Neurospora crassa OR74A: one gene and its partners. The main gene of each other region encodes a partner of the protein of the gene in region 3 in a complex. Links are inferred from orthologs where the notes say so. Each region holds a gene or a part of one and is shown on either strand. Other genes may lie near its edges. The genes, in order: NCU02828, NCU07679, NCU06216 and NCU09063.

Region 1 (4,386 bases), on a different chromosome or scaffold from region 3:
GCAGTTATCGTTGGGTCGCAATCGCAAATGTGATCGCAAGGTACGTATGTTGATGATGGCCGGAATTAAAAAAAAAAAAAAAAAGAGAGAAATTTGCCAGCAGCAGAAATAGAAAAGAAGAAGAAAAAAAAAACAGATAAGGCTACAAGTATGTCCAGTATGGTGTATACGATTGACGGGACGATGGCGTGGCTCGCGTGGGCGGGCGGGATTGCTGTGTTATGTAGGCGGAATGAGATCATCGTCGCAAAGTTGCCAAGGTGATTTCGGGTGGCCAGAAAGGTCGGATTAGGACTGGTGCGTCGAGGTATCCATGCGCCGCTTCTCTGAGACAAGACGATAGATTCATTGCATTGGAGATGGGTAGACGACGGATGGGCGCAAGGTAGGTATCTATTAGTGTAGATACTATAGGAAATAGGTGATTGGGAGAAAGTTGAACGAGAAGATAGAAGCTATCGATGTATGTAATCTAGAGTAGAGGCAAAGGGCAAAGAAGGAAGGCGGGGAATATTAAAAGAGGGTGACCTTCCTGGTTGGGCAGGAGACTGACATATCGCTGTGTTACCGTGTTCCTGATCTCAACAAGTTCCCTGCAGCAACCGAAAAGAAGAAAAAAATAAAAATAAAAAGGAAAGGAAAATCACGGAAAGGTAATGCTACCTTCTAACGTCTGCAGCCCCATGCGCAACCCGGTTGGACATGGAGACGCTGTTTCGGTTGGAGTCTGTCTTGACTGTAGAGTAGGAATACATACCTACTACAGATGCCTACTATACTTCTACAGTGCATACATACGCGAGCTCCAATCGATGCGGGTGAGGTGACCAACAGGAACGGAACTTCCATCTGAACTAACTCAAGAGGCTGTGGATTTGTGGCGACAAGAGAGATGAGTCTTGATCGCATCACAAAGAGGTCAAGACGGGGGAGGTAGCCCATATGCCCTGCCACTTGTACACTAGGTAGAGGTAGATATACGTCTCCTTTCTCTAGTTATGTAGGGAGTGCACATGCGTGACAACTTCGGACTCAGGAACTTCAATCGGAGTTTCAACTCCCCAAGTGAACCCCACATACAAGGTACACGTGTATGTAGTGTAAGTACCAGAAGGGGGGGGGGCTCTGTGTGATCGCCAACGGCCGCCGCATGTAACAGTATGTCCCTTGTACGTGTATGGATGTATCGATGCCCTGTAATGTACCGCTGTACCTGAGCGTAGTACCTTGACTGTAGAGGTAGCTTAGTCATTCGATGCCAAGCCCCCCAGACTTCCTCCCTTCAACTTCCTCACCCCGCTCTTAGTTACCTCTACCATAGTACTGCGTAGTAGGCCCCAGCACGTGCCGCCACCCGTCACCAGCCCGCCCGCTGAGACGTGGATCCGTCTAGCCCGTGTCTGCGCTACCTATCCAGCATTGGCACTCCCATCGTGGTTACGGGCGGGTCAAAGTAAACAAACACCACTGAAAGTCCAAACTAGACAGCGGCCGCCTGGAGCTTCACATCTTGGATAGCTTCGTCAACACCGCCAAGATGCCTCGCCTCAGCACAGGTCCGCGACGGAGCATGAGCAAGGGCCCTGCGGTGCCATCCCCGCTCAAATCCCCCGGCCTCAAGTACGTCTTTTCTTTGAATTGCGAATTGCGAATTGAACGTCTTGTCGCGTCCCTCTTTCATTTTCCTCCCTTGTAACTGACCAGAGATATTCGTCCCGACTAGAATCCCACTAAACGACGACGCCCAAGAAAAGGAACAACGATCGCGAGGACGCAAAGCCCTCCACGAGGCCCAGATCAACCAGCTCAAACTCGCCGCGACCGCAGTCGCAACCCCCGCCCGCAGCGTAATCGACGAAAATGGCACTCCGACCTCCAACGGACCGCGCACCCCGCGTCGCCGCATCTCTGGCAAGGAGAACTTCTCCATCCTCGACGACGATGACAGGCCGGTTGTGGGCGGCGCCGTCGTCACCCCCATGAAGCGCGTCCCCATCCTGGCCAACTTTGAGGAGTGGATGAAGATGGCCACCGACAACAAGATCAATGCCGCCAACTCGTGGAACTTTGCGCTGATCGACTACTTCCATGATATGTCGCTACTCAAGGAAGGAGACGGTGTCAATTTCCAAAAGGCCAGTTGCACGCTGGACGGGTGTGTCAAGATTTATACCAGCAGAGTCGACAGTGTTGCGACGGAAACCGGAAAGCTGCTCAGTGGTTTGGCCGACAGTCGCGACAGCAAGAAGAGGGATAGGGGCGAGGGCGAGGACGGCGGCGATGACGATGAGGAGGAGGACGAGGTGGACGAGAATGGCAACGTACTAAAGAAGCGTAGAAAGAAGGTTGGTTGCTCGGCTCACTGCTACGGGCGGGTTGCATGATACTGACAATTGCAGACCCAACGATCCTCCGAAGCCACCCTGGCACCCTCTTTCGCTTCCCTGCAGCTCAAAAAGTTCGAACTCGAATTCTCAGTAGATCCGCTCTTCAAAAAGGCATCAGCAGACTTCGATGAGGGAGGCGCTAAGGGTCTCCTCTTGAACCATCTGATGATCGATTCGCAGGGTCGCATCGTCTTTGACAGCAGCGACGACGCCATCGACACTCTCGACTCACGCAACCAAAAAGCCGCCGAGGAGAACGACCAAGATGCCGACCCGGACGCCATGGATATTGATGCGATGGAAATCGACGGCCAAACCGAAAAGACCCAGACCCGGACCCAACAACAAGAAGAAGAGGAGGAGGACGATGTGGAGATCGACATTGCCAGTCTTGGTGCTAGGTTCTTTCCCGATCTTGGACGACTAGACGAGATGGATGTGTGCCCATCGCTCAAGACTTTTATCCTCGGAGACCCCTCCGGATCCCTCGATATTCCCTTCCTCAGAGCGCCCGAGGACTGGCGCCAGGAGCAAGATAGAGCCAAGACCCCTGGCCTCGGCAACAAATCCGGCTTCATTATTGATGACGAGAACCCGCTCGGTTTCGATGACGATGATGCGCTGGGCGCATTCGACCTGGGAGGAGACGTTGACGTAGCCTTCGGTGAGGGTGGAGAAGCCTGGGCCCGCGAAGCCGCCATCGAGCCACAAATGATGCGGGTCTTTGACGCCGGTCTAGACATAGGAGAGGGCGAAGGTGGTGACGATGGTGATGGAGTAGACGGCGACCTCGAAATGATCGATCAAGACAAGGGCGATTTCGGCATGGTTAACATGACGAACGCCCAAAAGACGGACCGGCTGCACGAGGACATTCTCAGCTACTTCGACCAAGCCCTATCAAAGAACTGGACCAGCGCCGAGCACTGGCGCATTCGCAAGATCAAAGATGTCAACAAACCCCAAACGGGAGAACCACAACGCCAGCGCAAGGAGAAACAGGCTTTCGAGATCGACTTCTTCACCCCCGTGGATCGCACCCTTCACGACGTCCTGCACACCCAAGCCACCACCAACTCGGCCATTTCGCTGCCCAAGAAGGACTGGAAGTCCAAGTCGCGCAACCTGCTGCCGGACGACAAGCACTTCAGCTCCAAGCAGCTGCTCAACCTCTTCCTCAAGCCCAAGGCCCGTCTCGGCCGCAAGCAGCGCGCCTTTGGCCGTTCCAATGCCGACAACCAAAACCCAGACCAAGTCCCCGAGGGCACCATGGACGAGGCCTTCTGGGCCCAACAAAAAGCGCCGCTGAACCAGGGCCCATCATCGCAAGACGACCATCTACCGCAGGGTGACTACGACGCCAACTTCTTCCAGGATGACGGTCTGCCGTTTGCCAACGGCGGAGACGACGATGACGACGAAGACATGGACGAGGAAGTCTTTGCTGACGCACGGGATCACTTCTCGCCTGGCCCCGGTGGCACGCAAGGGGATGGCGCTGCCGGGAAAGAAGGAACAGCAGGACTGACGATGGACGTGGGCATGACGGGCGCGTTTAACGGGCTGACGGTTACGAACCCGGCCGATTTGGCGTTTGGCACGATGCTGGTCACGCAATCACGAAGAGTCAGGCCCGAGTATGTGCAGTATGCGAGACGGGCCAAGAAGGTGGATGTCAGGAGGCTGAAGGAGGAACTTTGGCGGGGGATGGGGATGGACATGTTGAATGGCGGACGTTTTTTTTTTTTTTTTTTTTTTTTTTTTTTTTCCTCTCTTCTTTTCTCCTCCCTGTTTTTCTTTTCTTTTTTTTTTTTTCTTTTTGTTTCATCCTCTTTTTATTTCTCCCAGTTACTAACAACACGAACAACAGATACCAACAACAACAACAACAACAACAACAAACCCCGAAGACTCCCTCCTCTCCCCACCCCCAACGACGACCCCATCCGCCCAACCACCGAGCTCCTCAGTAGAACCTCCCAAAGAAGGGGAAGAAGAA
Region 2 (4,204 bases), on a different chromosome or scaffold from region 3:
CCCACGTCGAAGCCCACGAGCCATCGAGCAGACCACGGCCACCCCTGGGGCTACTTGTACGAGCGGAGCCCGCCGCGACCTCGAGTCTAGAATCGTTCCTCCCAGTAACATCTCCTATGCGTGCGGCGGGAATCGGCGAGGCCCCTCTGTCTGAGGTCCTGCTCGGGCTTGAGTAGAGGGAGGATGATGTTGCATTATTCCGGTTGCTCGCTACGCGGCGGTTCCGTGGCCGAAGAGAGTTATCATCCACTTCTGCTGAAGCCGACAAGAGAGCATTCGAAGGGGGGCGCTGCGAGAGACTCATGGCTTTGTGTTGATTGTGTCCTCGCAGGGAGGGCGCAAACCTCGGCGCCTTATGGTTCGTGGTTCGAAGGGAGCATCAGATAGCAGTTGTTCGAGGAACCATGGAGAGGGTGCCCCTTGCTGCTAGGCTGTTATTATTCTCTTTGCAAGTGTGTGACTGCTGGAGACTATGGGCACTGGTCGCAACGCTATGAGTGCCCTCGCTTCGTTTGTTTTTCCTCTCGAGATGCGCCGTAACGTGGAGTTCTCTTTGTAAGTTTATTGATGGAGACGGATTGCTCGCGGTGATGGCCCAATCGGTTGAAGCTGGGCTGGAGATCGGATCCGGTAGGACGTCGAGACAAAGGTACGGCGGGTAACAGGTCGTTGCGATTAGGTGGTTAATTGAAATGCGCGTCATGAAATCACAAAAATGCCACCAATAGCCGAACAATGATCTTGAACGGGAGACGCTCAGTTTGATGGGAAAGCTGGAGGGTGAAAGGTCCAAGAGCTTCCACTTCACTACGGTAGGTTGTGACGAGCTGGAGGAATCGATGCGCAAGCAGGAACGTGCCGTCCAGGTTCCCACTCACGCAGGGCAGTCGTGCCACTGTGTTCTAGTTGGCGGCGTCCCCGGCCTGTGGCCTGAATGGAGGCTCCCATAGGTATCCCGGAGGGGGCTCCCGTCGGCCAGTTCAGGGCCAAGAACCGGGCATAGCGGGGACCATGCCTTGCCTCCCCGGCCATGCCGTGCACTTGAAGGAAAGGCTCCACAATGTGTTTTGGCTCTGCGCCATGTACAAATCAGGCCCGTTTTGCATGGTCTTTTGGTACGTAATGATTTACTGCTCCAGGCCGAATCAAGGGCCTCGCAAGACGGAGAATAGGATCCCGCGTAGAGCTTCCTGATCTTATGTGCGCCAAGCCGAGTTACTTGGGATCTTTGCCGACGAAAGGGTCATCATAAATGGTGATAGACCAAAAAGGGGTACATATACATAGCCAGAGCACGGACCCAGTGTCGCAGAGAGCCACTTGCTACATAATCCCCACCTTTGTGAGCATCGCGCCAGGGGCAGGCGGGCACGTGCAGACGTGAATGCAGGGCGCCCTGTCCTGGCCCACACCCCGCCCTTCCCCCAAACCCAGTGGTGCCTGAGAAAAGTAAACAAACGTTGAGTCCATCTTCCGATCTTGTTGCAATTGTTCGGGCAGGCGCGGGCGTTTCTTACAGCAGCGCCAAAGTCTGAGCCACCACAATCCTCGGGCCCAAAACCACGACGACGCCAGAATGAGGGTTACCGAAGTCATTATCGACGTACGTGTTTCTCCACGGTGCCATCAGTCGCGACCGGACCGAACGTGGGATGCGACAACTTGAAGTCGCGACAGAGCTGACATATTCGTGCCTCACATAGGGCTTCAAGTCGTACGCCGTTAGAACGGTGATTTCGGGATGGTAAGGGCACAAATCCATCAGGGCGATGGAAGGCATCCTCCCAACTGCATAACTAACCGGCCGTCACAGGGATGAGAGCTTCAACTCCATTACCGGCCTCAACGGCAGCGGTAAATCCAACATCCTCGACGCCATCTGCTTCGTCCTCGGTATTACCAACATGTCAACAGTCCGCGCTCAAAACCTGCAGGATCTTATCTACAAACGAGGCCAAGCTGGTGTCACGAAGGCTAGCGTTACCATAGTGTTCGACAATAGAGACAAGAAAAAGTCACCAATCGGATTCGAAGAGTATGCGACCATCAGCGTTACCCGCCAAATCGTGCTCGGAGGCACCTCAAAATACCTGATCAACGGTCATCGTGCGCAGCAACAAACCGTACAGAACCTCTTCCAATCGGTTCAGCTCAATATCAACAACCCCAACTTCCTCATCATGCAGGGCCGCATCACAAAAGTTTTGAATATGAAGGCCGTTGAAATCCTGGCCATGATCGAGGAGGCAGCTGGCACAAGGATGTTCGAGGACAGGAGGGACAAAGCACTCAAGACGATGGCCAAGAAGGAGATGAAGTTACAGGAGATCAAAGAACTCTTGCGGGATGAGATCGAACCGAAACTGGAGAAGCTACGAACCGAAAAGCGCGCATTCCTCGACTTTCAGCAAACACAAAACGACCTGGAGCGATTGACAAGGCTCGTGGTGGCGCACGATTACGTAAGGTGTCAGGAGAAGCTACAACAGTCAGCATCGGATCTTGAGGCGAAGAAGCAGCGCCAGAAAGAACTTGAGGAATCTGCTATCCGGCTGAAAAATGAGATATCCCATCTGGAGGAGGACTTACAACGGGTTAAGGCACAGCGCGACAAGGAATTACGAAAAGGTGGCAAGGCTCAAGCCCTGGAAGAAGCAGTGAAGAAGCACGCCAACGAGCTGGTAAGGCTTGCTACTGTTGTGGATTTGAAGAAGAGCAGTATGAAGGAGGAGCAGGAACGGAGGAAAGCTGGAGAGAAGAACGTTGCGGACCTGGAAGCGGCGCTGAAGGAGAAGACGAAGACGTACGAGAAGATCAAGGCGAAATACGATGCCGCCAAGGAGACGCTTGAAAAGCAGAGGCAAGAAGCAGACACCAAGGAAGAGCTGCTACAAACCCTGCAAACTGGTGTTGCGTCCAAGGAGGGACAGGAGAACGGTTACCAAGGACAACTACAAGACGCGAGAAACAGGGCCACGGCTGCGGCAACTGAACAAGAGCAGGCAAAGATCAAAATCGCCCATCTGGAGAAGCGAATCAAAGGGGAAGAACCCCGGGCCAGGAAGGCCAAAGAGCAAAACGCCGGCTTGCTGAAGGATCTCGATGGCCTGAAAGCCCAGGCTCAGAGGCTTGAGAAGGAGCTTGGAAGGCTTGGGTTCCAACCCGGGACGGAGGAAGAAATGTATAAGCAGGAAAGCTCGCTCCAGCAGACTATCCGCAATCTCAGGCAAGAAGCCGATGCGCTTAAACGCAAGGTGGCAAATATCGACTTCAACTACGCCGATCCAGTCCCAAACTTTGATCGATCAAAAGTGAAAGGGCTAGTCGCGCAACTCTTTTCATTACCCAAAGAGTATATGGAAGCTGGAACAGCGCTGGAGATCTGCGCTGGAGGCCGTCTTTACAACGTGGTTGTTGACACCGAAGTCACTGGCACACAACTACTGCAAGGCGGTAGATTGCGAAAGAGGGTTACCATCATTCCCTTGAACAAGATCTCTGCTTTCAAGGCTTCTGCACAAACGATTGCCAATGCGCAACGAATCGCTCCAGGAAAAGTGCACCTGGCTTTGTCCCTAGTTGGGTACGACGATGAAGTGTCAGCGGCAATGGACTATGTCTTTGGAAATACGCTCATTTGCGCTGATGCAGACACAGCCAAGAGAGTGACGTTCGATCCAAATGTCCGCATGAGGAGCATCACAGTGGAGGGTGATTCGTACGATCCATCTGGTACACTATCGGGTGGAAGTGCCCCCAACTCGAGCGGCGTTTTGGTTACTTTGCAGAAGCTCAATGAAATCAATCGGCAGCTGAAGGAAGCAGAGACCGCCCTCAATGAGCTACGCGGCCAAATTTACCGGGAAAAAACGAAACTTGACCAAGCAAAGAGAATCAAGCAAGAACTTGACCTCAAAGCCCATGAGATCAAGCTAGCGGAGGAGCAAATTGGCGGCAACTCATCATCATCGATCATCCAAGAGATTGCAAATATGAAGGAAACAATAGTCCAACTCAAGCAGTCGATCATGGAGGCCAAGCAGCGACAGGCAGAAGCCACCGCCGAAGCCAAAAGAATCGAAAAGGACATGAAGGACTTTGACAATAATAAAGACGCTAAGCTTGTGGAGCTGCAAGCTTCAGTCGACAAGCTACGTGCGTCCCTGGACAAGATGTCTGTTACAAACAAGGCGTTGCAAAAAGA
Region 3 (2,232 bases):
ACCGGTGTGGTGGGCTTTTGGGACGGTGGTGCTTTTGGGGGAGATTTGGCGGAGAGATCAGAGACAGAAAAGGTTGGGTAGCGGTAACAATGGGAAAAGAGGGAGCGACGAAAAGGAGGAAGAAGCGGAAGCGAAACAGATGCTTGAAGGGGGGCAAATCAGTCCGTTCAAGACCTATGTTGCCGTGACGACGCTGTTTACCGCGTTTAGTGTCGCGGCGGTTATGGCGGCTTGTACGATCCTCAGGACGCACTTGTTCGTGTGGACGGTATTTTCCCCAAAGTACTTGTACTGCGTGGCTTGGAGCTTGGTGCAGCATTTGGTAATTAATGTTGGGCTGAGTGGGTTGTTGTTCTGGCTTGGGTCATTTTAGGTAAAATATGAGGTGGTACAATCTTGTCCAAGAGGACGAGCCCAAGGAAGGGCCGGGTGGTTTGATAGGATGTGTGGATCATTGTGTGTTGGTTGCTTGTAGTAGATATAAAGGTTAGATTAGAACGAGTAGATAAATTCTCGAAATCGTTCCTCAGCATCACTTGGATGAGGAGATGCTAAAGTTGAAATGCATGGAAGCAAACAAAGAAAGCCTTTTGACATTTCATTCAATGGTATCCTGCAATGTTCAAGGACAAAATAAACCAAGGCAATACGTCTTAGCCCAAGAAGCTCAGGCCTCGACAGCAAGCAAACGACATGAACCAAAGCCAGAAACACAGAGCCTCCATATATTACGTAGTGTCCCATCCAAACCCAATCAAGTCAGTTCATATGTAGTTCAACAATCCAGAATCTCCGTCTTCAATCCGTACGCAACCCTATTCGAAGTCGTCCTCTTCATCCGACAATAACTCATCAACAAGCTCGTCATCATCTTTCCCTTCGTTCTCTCCATCATCGTCATCACCGTCCTCCTCCTCTTCTTCCTCTTCTTCTTCTTTCCCATCCTCTTCCCCTCCTACCTCATCGTCCTGTTCCTCGTCCTCGCGCTTTTTTTCTTCTTGTTCTTCTTCGTCCTCCTCCTCAATCTTCGTCCTCTCCATCACCGTATCTCCATCACTATCATCCAGTATCTCCTCCGCAATATCCTCCGTACCTGCTCTGCTGCTCCGTCCAGCACTCAACCGCGCCTTGGCTTTCATCGCACTAGCCCTCCTACTCCCTCTCCTTCCTGTCGGTTGTTGTTGTTGTTGTTGTTCTTCCTGCTCCTCCTCTTGTTGCTGCTGCGGTTGTACGCTAACCACACTCTGCGAGCTCTGCCTCCTACTCCTCAGAGAAACGCCTCTCAACAACCTTCTCTGTTCCGTGCTCGGCTCCTGGGCTTCTGTCGCAGTTGGTTTTGGTGTTGTTTCCCGATCACCAGCATTATCATTATCGCCCACTTGCGTACCACCCATTTCCACATCCTCGCCCTCGTCCTCGTTCTCGTCCTCCTCCTTGATGGAGACGCCAACGCTGACCTCCCTTTCCTTTCTCTTCCTGCTGTTAACAGGCGCAGCAGTAGCACCAGACGCAGATGGTGCGACGGAACCGGCTCTGGACACAGCCCCGCCGCCGCCGCCGCCACTGGCTTCGCTAGCCGGAGGCGCCACGCTACCCGCCCGGCTAGGAGCGACGCTGCCTGCCCTGCTGGCGCTTCTTCTATGGGTGGTGGCGCCGGAGGCAATGGAGGCATGGCGGCCCGCGGCGTTGTTGGCGGCATCTTGCTCGGCGGCGGCATCAAGGGCGTTGACAATCTTGCCAAGGGAGACATGGACCTTGTAGAGGGCGTTGCGAGAGGTGGCGTCGGAGAGGAGGTTGTTCTCAACAGCGTTGGTGACGAGGGCGTAGACGTCGCGGATCTTGATGGGCGAGGAGGGGTTGGAGGAAGAGGAGCCGGATGGGATGTAGAGCTTTGCGAGAAGGGCGGCCATGATGCGCTTTTCTTCTTCTGTGTCTGGGTGTCAGTATCACGATTTGGTGGGAGAGGCAACAATGAATACGTACTGGCTCCATTTCCTTGTAGCCTTTCGAGAATATCCTTGGCGAAGTCGAGGTGCACATCTGCCGAAACGGTCTTCTTCTCGGGGTCAAGGCCGGCGCTGAACCCTTCATCGGGGTTGTAGCACTTTCTGGGATCCGTCCAGTCGACCAAGCAGGCAGCGATGGTCGACATGCTGACCATCTGATCATCTACATCGGCCTCTTCGTCATCCAGGCCTTCGCGCACATTGTACAAGGTATGCAGGGCATCCA
Region 4 (4,218 bases), on a different chromosome or scaffold from region 3:
AGTACTCCTGAAACCAGCTTTCCTCCTCGCCCGTCAACGCCGCGCTAACGAGTTCCTTGCCCCTCGCTCCTAACTTGTCCGGCTGCTCTAGAATGGAAGCTACTAACCTTTCAAACAGCTGCTGGCGGGTCCACTCCGGGTAGCGACGCGAGAAATCGAGTGCTTCGGTGACGTTAGTACGAGCAAGAGCGCCAAAGAGCAGCTCGAGAGCCTCGGATGAAGTAAAGACGGGCTGGGCGGCGTGGAAGTAGGCGAGAGCTAGCGTGTAATCGCTCTGACTGGTGGAGCTGCGCTTGTTGACGAGCGGATGGCGGACAAGGGCGATGGTGATTTCGTCGGCGAATTCGGTGGGGAGGGATGGGTGGGTTAGGTTTTCGATTGCGTACTGTTTAGCAGCGTTTGTTAGCGTCTTGATGTCCAGTGTGCAACTTAGGTTCCAGAACCAAACGGACGTCCGCACCTTGAACTCCATGCGATCCATGTGCCACAGGCCCCTCATAAGGATCTGGTACTTTTTCGGCAGTCCCGTCTCCTCAGCAAAGCTGTCCGCCCAATGCGAACGACCTGGATGGACGTCATCATGGTCGAGGAGGAGATAGTAAAGAACGGATATCTTTTGGATCGACGAGGCGCTGCTCTGGCAGATTTGTTGGTGGAGGGAGCGCAAGCCGTTCTCACCTCTGGGCGGATATGCAGTGCCTAGAGGTAGTTACAGTGGTGATTAGCGATGAAGCGCGCTATAACGACAGGGCATGGGTTGTTAGGGTGATTAGGTGGTAGTGTGGTGTTTACACTACACTAACCTTGGGCGATGCCTAACCGACTTAGGACGCGATCCACAAACAGGACGCCGCCCAATGATTTGCGGAAAGTCTCAATGGCACTGGCTCCCTTGTGATCGTAGGGGTTTATGAATCCCGGAGAGGGGAACACGTTGTTGTATTCTGTATAGTCGAGCATCGTGATGTTGAAGTTGGATTGCACAGTTGAAGTGCCCAAGTGTCCTTAGCTGTTGAATGAATTGAATGGAAAGGGAAAAGGGAAAATCGAAGGGATGGATGAGTGCCGTCATGGCCTGGGATACATGTATGCAACGGCCATCGGGTCCGTCAGGTCCATCCCCTGCACCTGGAATGGAGCCTTCCCCGGATCTGTACCTGCGCTAGGTAACGGCCTGTCTTGGCTTATCGATAAGGTAAGAAAGCCGTAAGCGCATGGAATGTTTGTTACACAGAGCGGGACTCCACCAGCCTGCCACGCATGCAGTGATAGCGCAACACGGTGCGAGCGTTCCAGGCAGCGGAGGGGTCGCCCGCTGCAGTGCACGAATTGCATTGGCTGCCCGTGGCTGCTGTGGCTGATTGTTTACCACCGCAGTCACGGTATTGCAAGAAGCGTCCGTCCAAAAACTGCCCTGAATGTCAACAATCTAACCGCGGCGGGGCAAGGAAGAAGCTGCGACAGCACTCAAAGAGTTTCTGCGTGGGCGTCCCATTCCGTGTCTGTCGCAACAACTGCCCTGCGAAATGTGAATACCATTTTTCATCTTTACTTGTTATTACATAAACTTTCACTCCTTGGTTGTCTGATACCCGCATCTTGCAGCGCTTTCTGTTCCATTCTGTTCTGTTGTTTTCATCATCGAGTCGAGAATTTGCAGGCCGAAACCACCGACAGACATCAGTCATGTCGACGCGCCCATCGCGTCGGGCCGCCGCAACCAGGCGCGCCGCCATCATCGAAGAATCCTCATCAGACGACGATATCGCAAACACCACATCGAGAGGCGCCCAAGATGACGACGAGGAGGACGATTATACACCCGCGCCAGCTTCGGCAGCCCGCAAGACTGCTCAGCGAACCACCAGAAGATCCACTGCCACGCCCGCTCCTAGGGCAGGAACACCAGCAGCAGCATCATCATCAACTGCACCGGCACCGGCACCAAAAGCTGCGCCGAAAAGGCGCGGACGACCTAAGAAGAATGCCGCGCCCAAACCCAGCAAAGAGCCCAGTGTCGAACCGAGTGTCGAAGCGAATAACGATCCCCAAGCCGAACCCGAAGCCCCAGCGCCTGCCGTCAAGCCAAAGGATGAGCCGATCGAGGAGGGTATCGACCCCAATGTGACTGTCGCGTCTGCCGTTTCGCCCGCTACAACCGCCGTGATCGCGGAGCCAGAAGCACGGGATACGCAAGAAATTCAGTCACCCCCGCGGAAGCGTAGAACTCTTGTGCGGCGCCTCAGCAGATCGCCAGCAAAGATCATGCAGCAACAACTCGAGCTGCAACAGCAACAAGCCAGCCGTCAAGGGACACCAACGCCAGGCTCTCCGTCAACTCAACGCGTCGATCGCCAACCTGCTCCTCTACAGGACATCACCCAGACCCTCATCAACCTACCACCTCCAGCGACCGCGGCATCAGAGACCCTTGTCAACACACAGCCAACATCAACAGCAGATGAAACCGTCGTGGCGGCCCAGAAGCCCGTCAGGGCTATGGATACTATTCTGGAAAAGCCCATGGATATTGTGCTCAAGTCACGGACCATGGCTCTTCCCGTCGTCGAGGATACCGGCCCGAAGCCACGCATTGTCATCACCAATCTTGTGCTCATCAACTTCAAGAGTTACGCCGGTAGACAGGAGGTCGGCCCCTTCCATGCTTCGTTCTCTTCGGTCGTGGGTCCCAACGGTTCTGGCAAATCCAACGTCATCGACTCGTTGCTGTTCGTCTTTGGTTTCCGTGCCAGCAAGATGCGACAAGGCAAGATCTCGGCCTTGATTCACAATTCGGCGCAGTTTCCGAATCTCGACTACTGTGAGGTGGAAGTGCATTTCCAGGAAGTCATGGACTTGGTAAGTCAAACATTGTTTTGAAGGGGAGTCATTGTGCTGACATTGATAGCCCGGCGGTGGCCACGAGGTTATCCCCGACTCAACACTCGTCATCTCGCGCAAAGCATTCAAGAACAACTCGAGCCAGTACTACATCAACGGCAAATCATCCAATTTTACCACCGTGACCACGCTACTCCGCGACCGTGGTGTCGATCTGGATCACAAGCGTTTTCTCATTCTCCAGGGCGAAGTCGAATCGATTGCCCAGATGAAGCCCAAAGCCGGCAACGAGCACGAAGATGGTCTGTTGGAGTACCTAGAAGACATTATTGGCACTTCCAAATACAAGACACCAATTGAAGAGTCGGCCACCGAAGTCGAAACCCTCAACGAGATCTGCATGGAGAAGAGTGGTCGTGTCCAGCACGTGGAAAAGGAAAGGAACAGTCTCGAGGACAAGAAGAACAAGGCGCTGGCGTATGTTCGCGATGAAAACGAACTGGCGCTGAAACAGTCGGCTCTCTACCAGCTATACATCAGCGAATGCGACGACAATATTGCTGTCACAGAGGAGGCTATCGGTCAGATGCAGGCACAACTTGACGCTGAGCTTGAGAAGCACCACGGCAGCGAACAGCTCATCAAGCAGTTGGAAAAGGCCTACTCCAAGGGTAGCAAGGAATACGACTCTTGGGAGAAGCAGACACAGCAGCTGGTCAAGGAGATGAACAAGTTCGAGCAGGAACGCGTCAAATTCGAGGAGAAGCGGAAGTTCTTGACGGACAAGCGTAAGAAGCTTGAGAAGACGATCGCTAACGCCGAGAAGACGGCTGTTGAAGCGGAGGAGACCATTCAGAACTGCACCAAGGAGATTGAGCGTCGTCAAAAGGACATTGTTTTCCTGGAGAAGAAGGTCAAGGAAGAGGAGGCCGAGCTTGCGACGATACGTGAGAGCCTCAAGGGCAAGACGCAAAAGTACTCGGATCAGATCGCGGCAAAGCAAAAGTCTCTCGAGCCTTGGAAGGACAAGATCAATCAGAAACAGTCCGCCATTGCCGTTGCGGAGAGTGAGCTGGCCATTCTCAGGGAAAAGGCCAATGCCGGAACTGTGGCCCTTGAGGAGATGGAGACGAAAATTGTGGCCATCCAGGAAAGGCAAGCGGCGAAGGCGGAGGAGATGGAGCAGTGCAAAGCTGAGAGAGCGAACCTGATCAAGGAGGGCAAGAAGATCGAGGCTGAACTTTCCAAGCTTGCGGAGGAGGAACCCAAGTACCGGCAACAGCTTTCGAATGCCCGCCAAAAGGCTGACGAGGCGCGGTCGAGCTTGTCCGCCACACAAAACCGAGGCAATGTCTTGACTGCCCTTATGCGCATGAA

What was found.
Region 1: the proteins of NCU06216 (region 3) and NCU02828 are in contact, whole or in part, in a crystal structure (PDB 5OQR), measured with the Schizosaccharomyces pombe proteins. The link is inferred for Neurospora crassa OR74A from reciprocal best matches to the Schizosaccharomyces pombe genes cnd3 and cnd2. Residues at the interface, in NP_588207.1 of Schizosaccharomyces pombe: Ile4, Gln5, Ser8, Gln11, Thr12, Arg39, Ala40, Asn42, Ile43, Ile44, Leu45, Val47, Asn51, Ser52, Asn53, Ala54, Arg56, Val57, His84, Arg87, Gly88, Asp90, Ala91, Lys92, Asp93, Val96, Leu131, Asp132, Arg133, Phe165; in NP_587811.1 of Schizosaccharomyces pombe: Arg477, Asn481, Ala482, Ile483, Asp484, Phe485, Leu486, Gln487, Val489, Val491, Leu494, Phe495, Thr496, Pro497, Lys503, Leu504, Trp509, His512, Arg514, Cys515, Leu516, Leu517, Pro518, Asp519, Asp520, Tyr521, Gln522, Tyr523, Ser525, Arg527.
Region 2: NCU06216 (region 3) and NCU07679 share a complex: the UniProt entries of both Schizosaccharomyces pombe proteins name them as parts of the condensin complex. The link is inferred for Neurospora crassa OR74A from reciprocal best matches to the Schizosaccharomyces pombe genes cnd3 and cut14.
Region 4: NCU06216 (region 3) and NCU09063 share a complex: the UniProt entries of both Schizosaccharomyces pombe proteins name them as parts of the condensin complex. The link is inferred for Neurospora crassa OR74A from reciprocal best matches to the Schizosaccharomyces pombe genes cnd3 and cut3.

The regions. Positions count from the first base shown.
Region 1 is NC_026501.1:8,976,665-8,981,050, reverse strand, and holds the start of NCU02828 (condensin complex component cnd2), read left to right. Parts: upstream 1-1,537; coding exon 1,538-1,620; intron 1,621-1,723; coding exon 1,724-2,345; intron 2,346-2,399; coding exon 2,400-4,061; intron 4,062-4,257; coding exon 4,258-4,386. UniProt on the Schizosaccharomyces pombe protein: Regulatory subunit of the condensin complex, a complex required for conversion of interphase chromatin into mitotic-like condense chromosomes.
Region 2 is NC_026504.1:2,263,345-2,267,548, forward strand, and holds the start of NCU07679 (nuclear condensin complex subunit Smc2), read left to right. Parts: upstream 1-1,282; 5' UTR 1,283-1,576; coding exon 1,577-1,603; intron 1,604-1,703; coding exon 1,704-1,744; intron 1,745-1,813; coding exon 1,814-4,204. Other genes in the region: NCU16785 (hypothetical protein), read right to left, coding at 1-304. UniProt on the Schizosaccharomyces pombe protein: Central component of the condensin complex, a complex required for conversion of interphase chromatin into mitotic-like condense chromosomes.
Region 3 is NC_026503.1:1,932,294-1,934,525, forward strand, and holds the end of NCU06216 (nuclear condensin complex subunit 3), read right to left. Parts: coding exon 1,984-2,232; intron 1,928-1,983; coding exon 816-1,927; 3' UTR 537-815; downstream 1-536. Other genes in the region: NCU06215 (transferase), read left to right, coding at 1-373. UniProt on the Schizosaccharomyces pombe protein: Regulatory subunit of the condensin complex, a complex required for conversion of interphase chromatin into mitotic-like condense chromosomes.
Region 4 is NC_026507.1:495,173-499,390, forward strand, and holds the start of NCU09063 (nuclear condensin complex subunit Smc4), read left to right. Parts: upstream 1-1,385; 5' UTR 1,386-1,686; coding exon 1,687-2,859; intron 2,860-2,908; coding exon 2,909-4,218. Other genes in the region: NCU09062 (hypothetical protein), read right to left, coding at 1-385, 461-699, 804-960. UniProt on the Schizosaccharomyces pombe protein: Central component of the condensin complex, a complex required for conversion of interphase chromatin into mitotic-like condense chromosomes.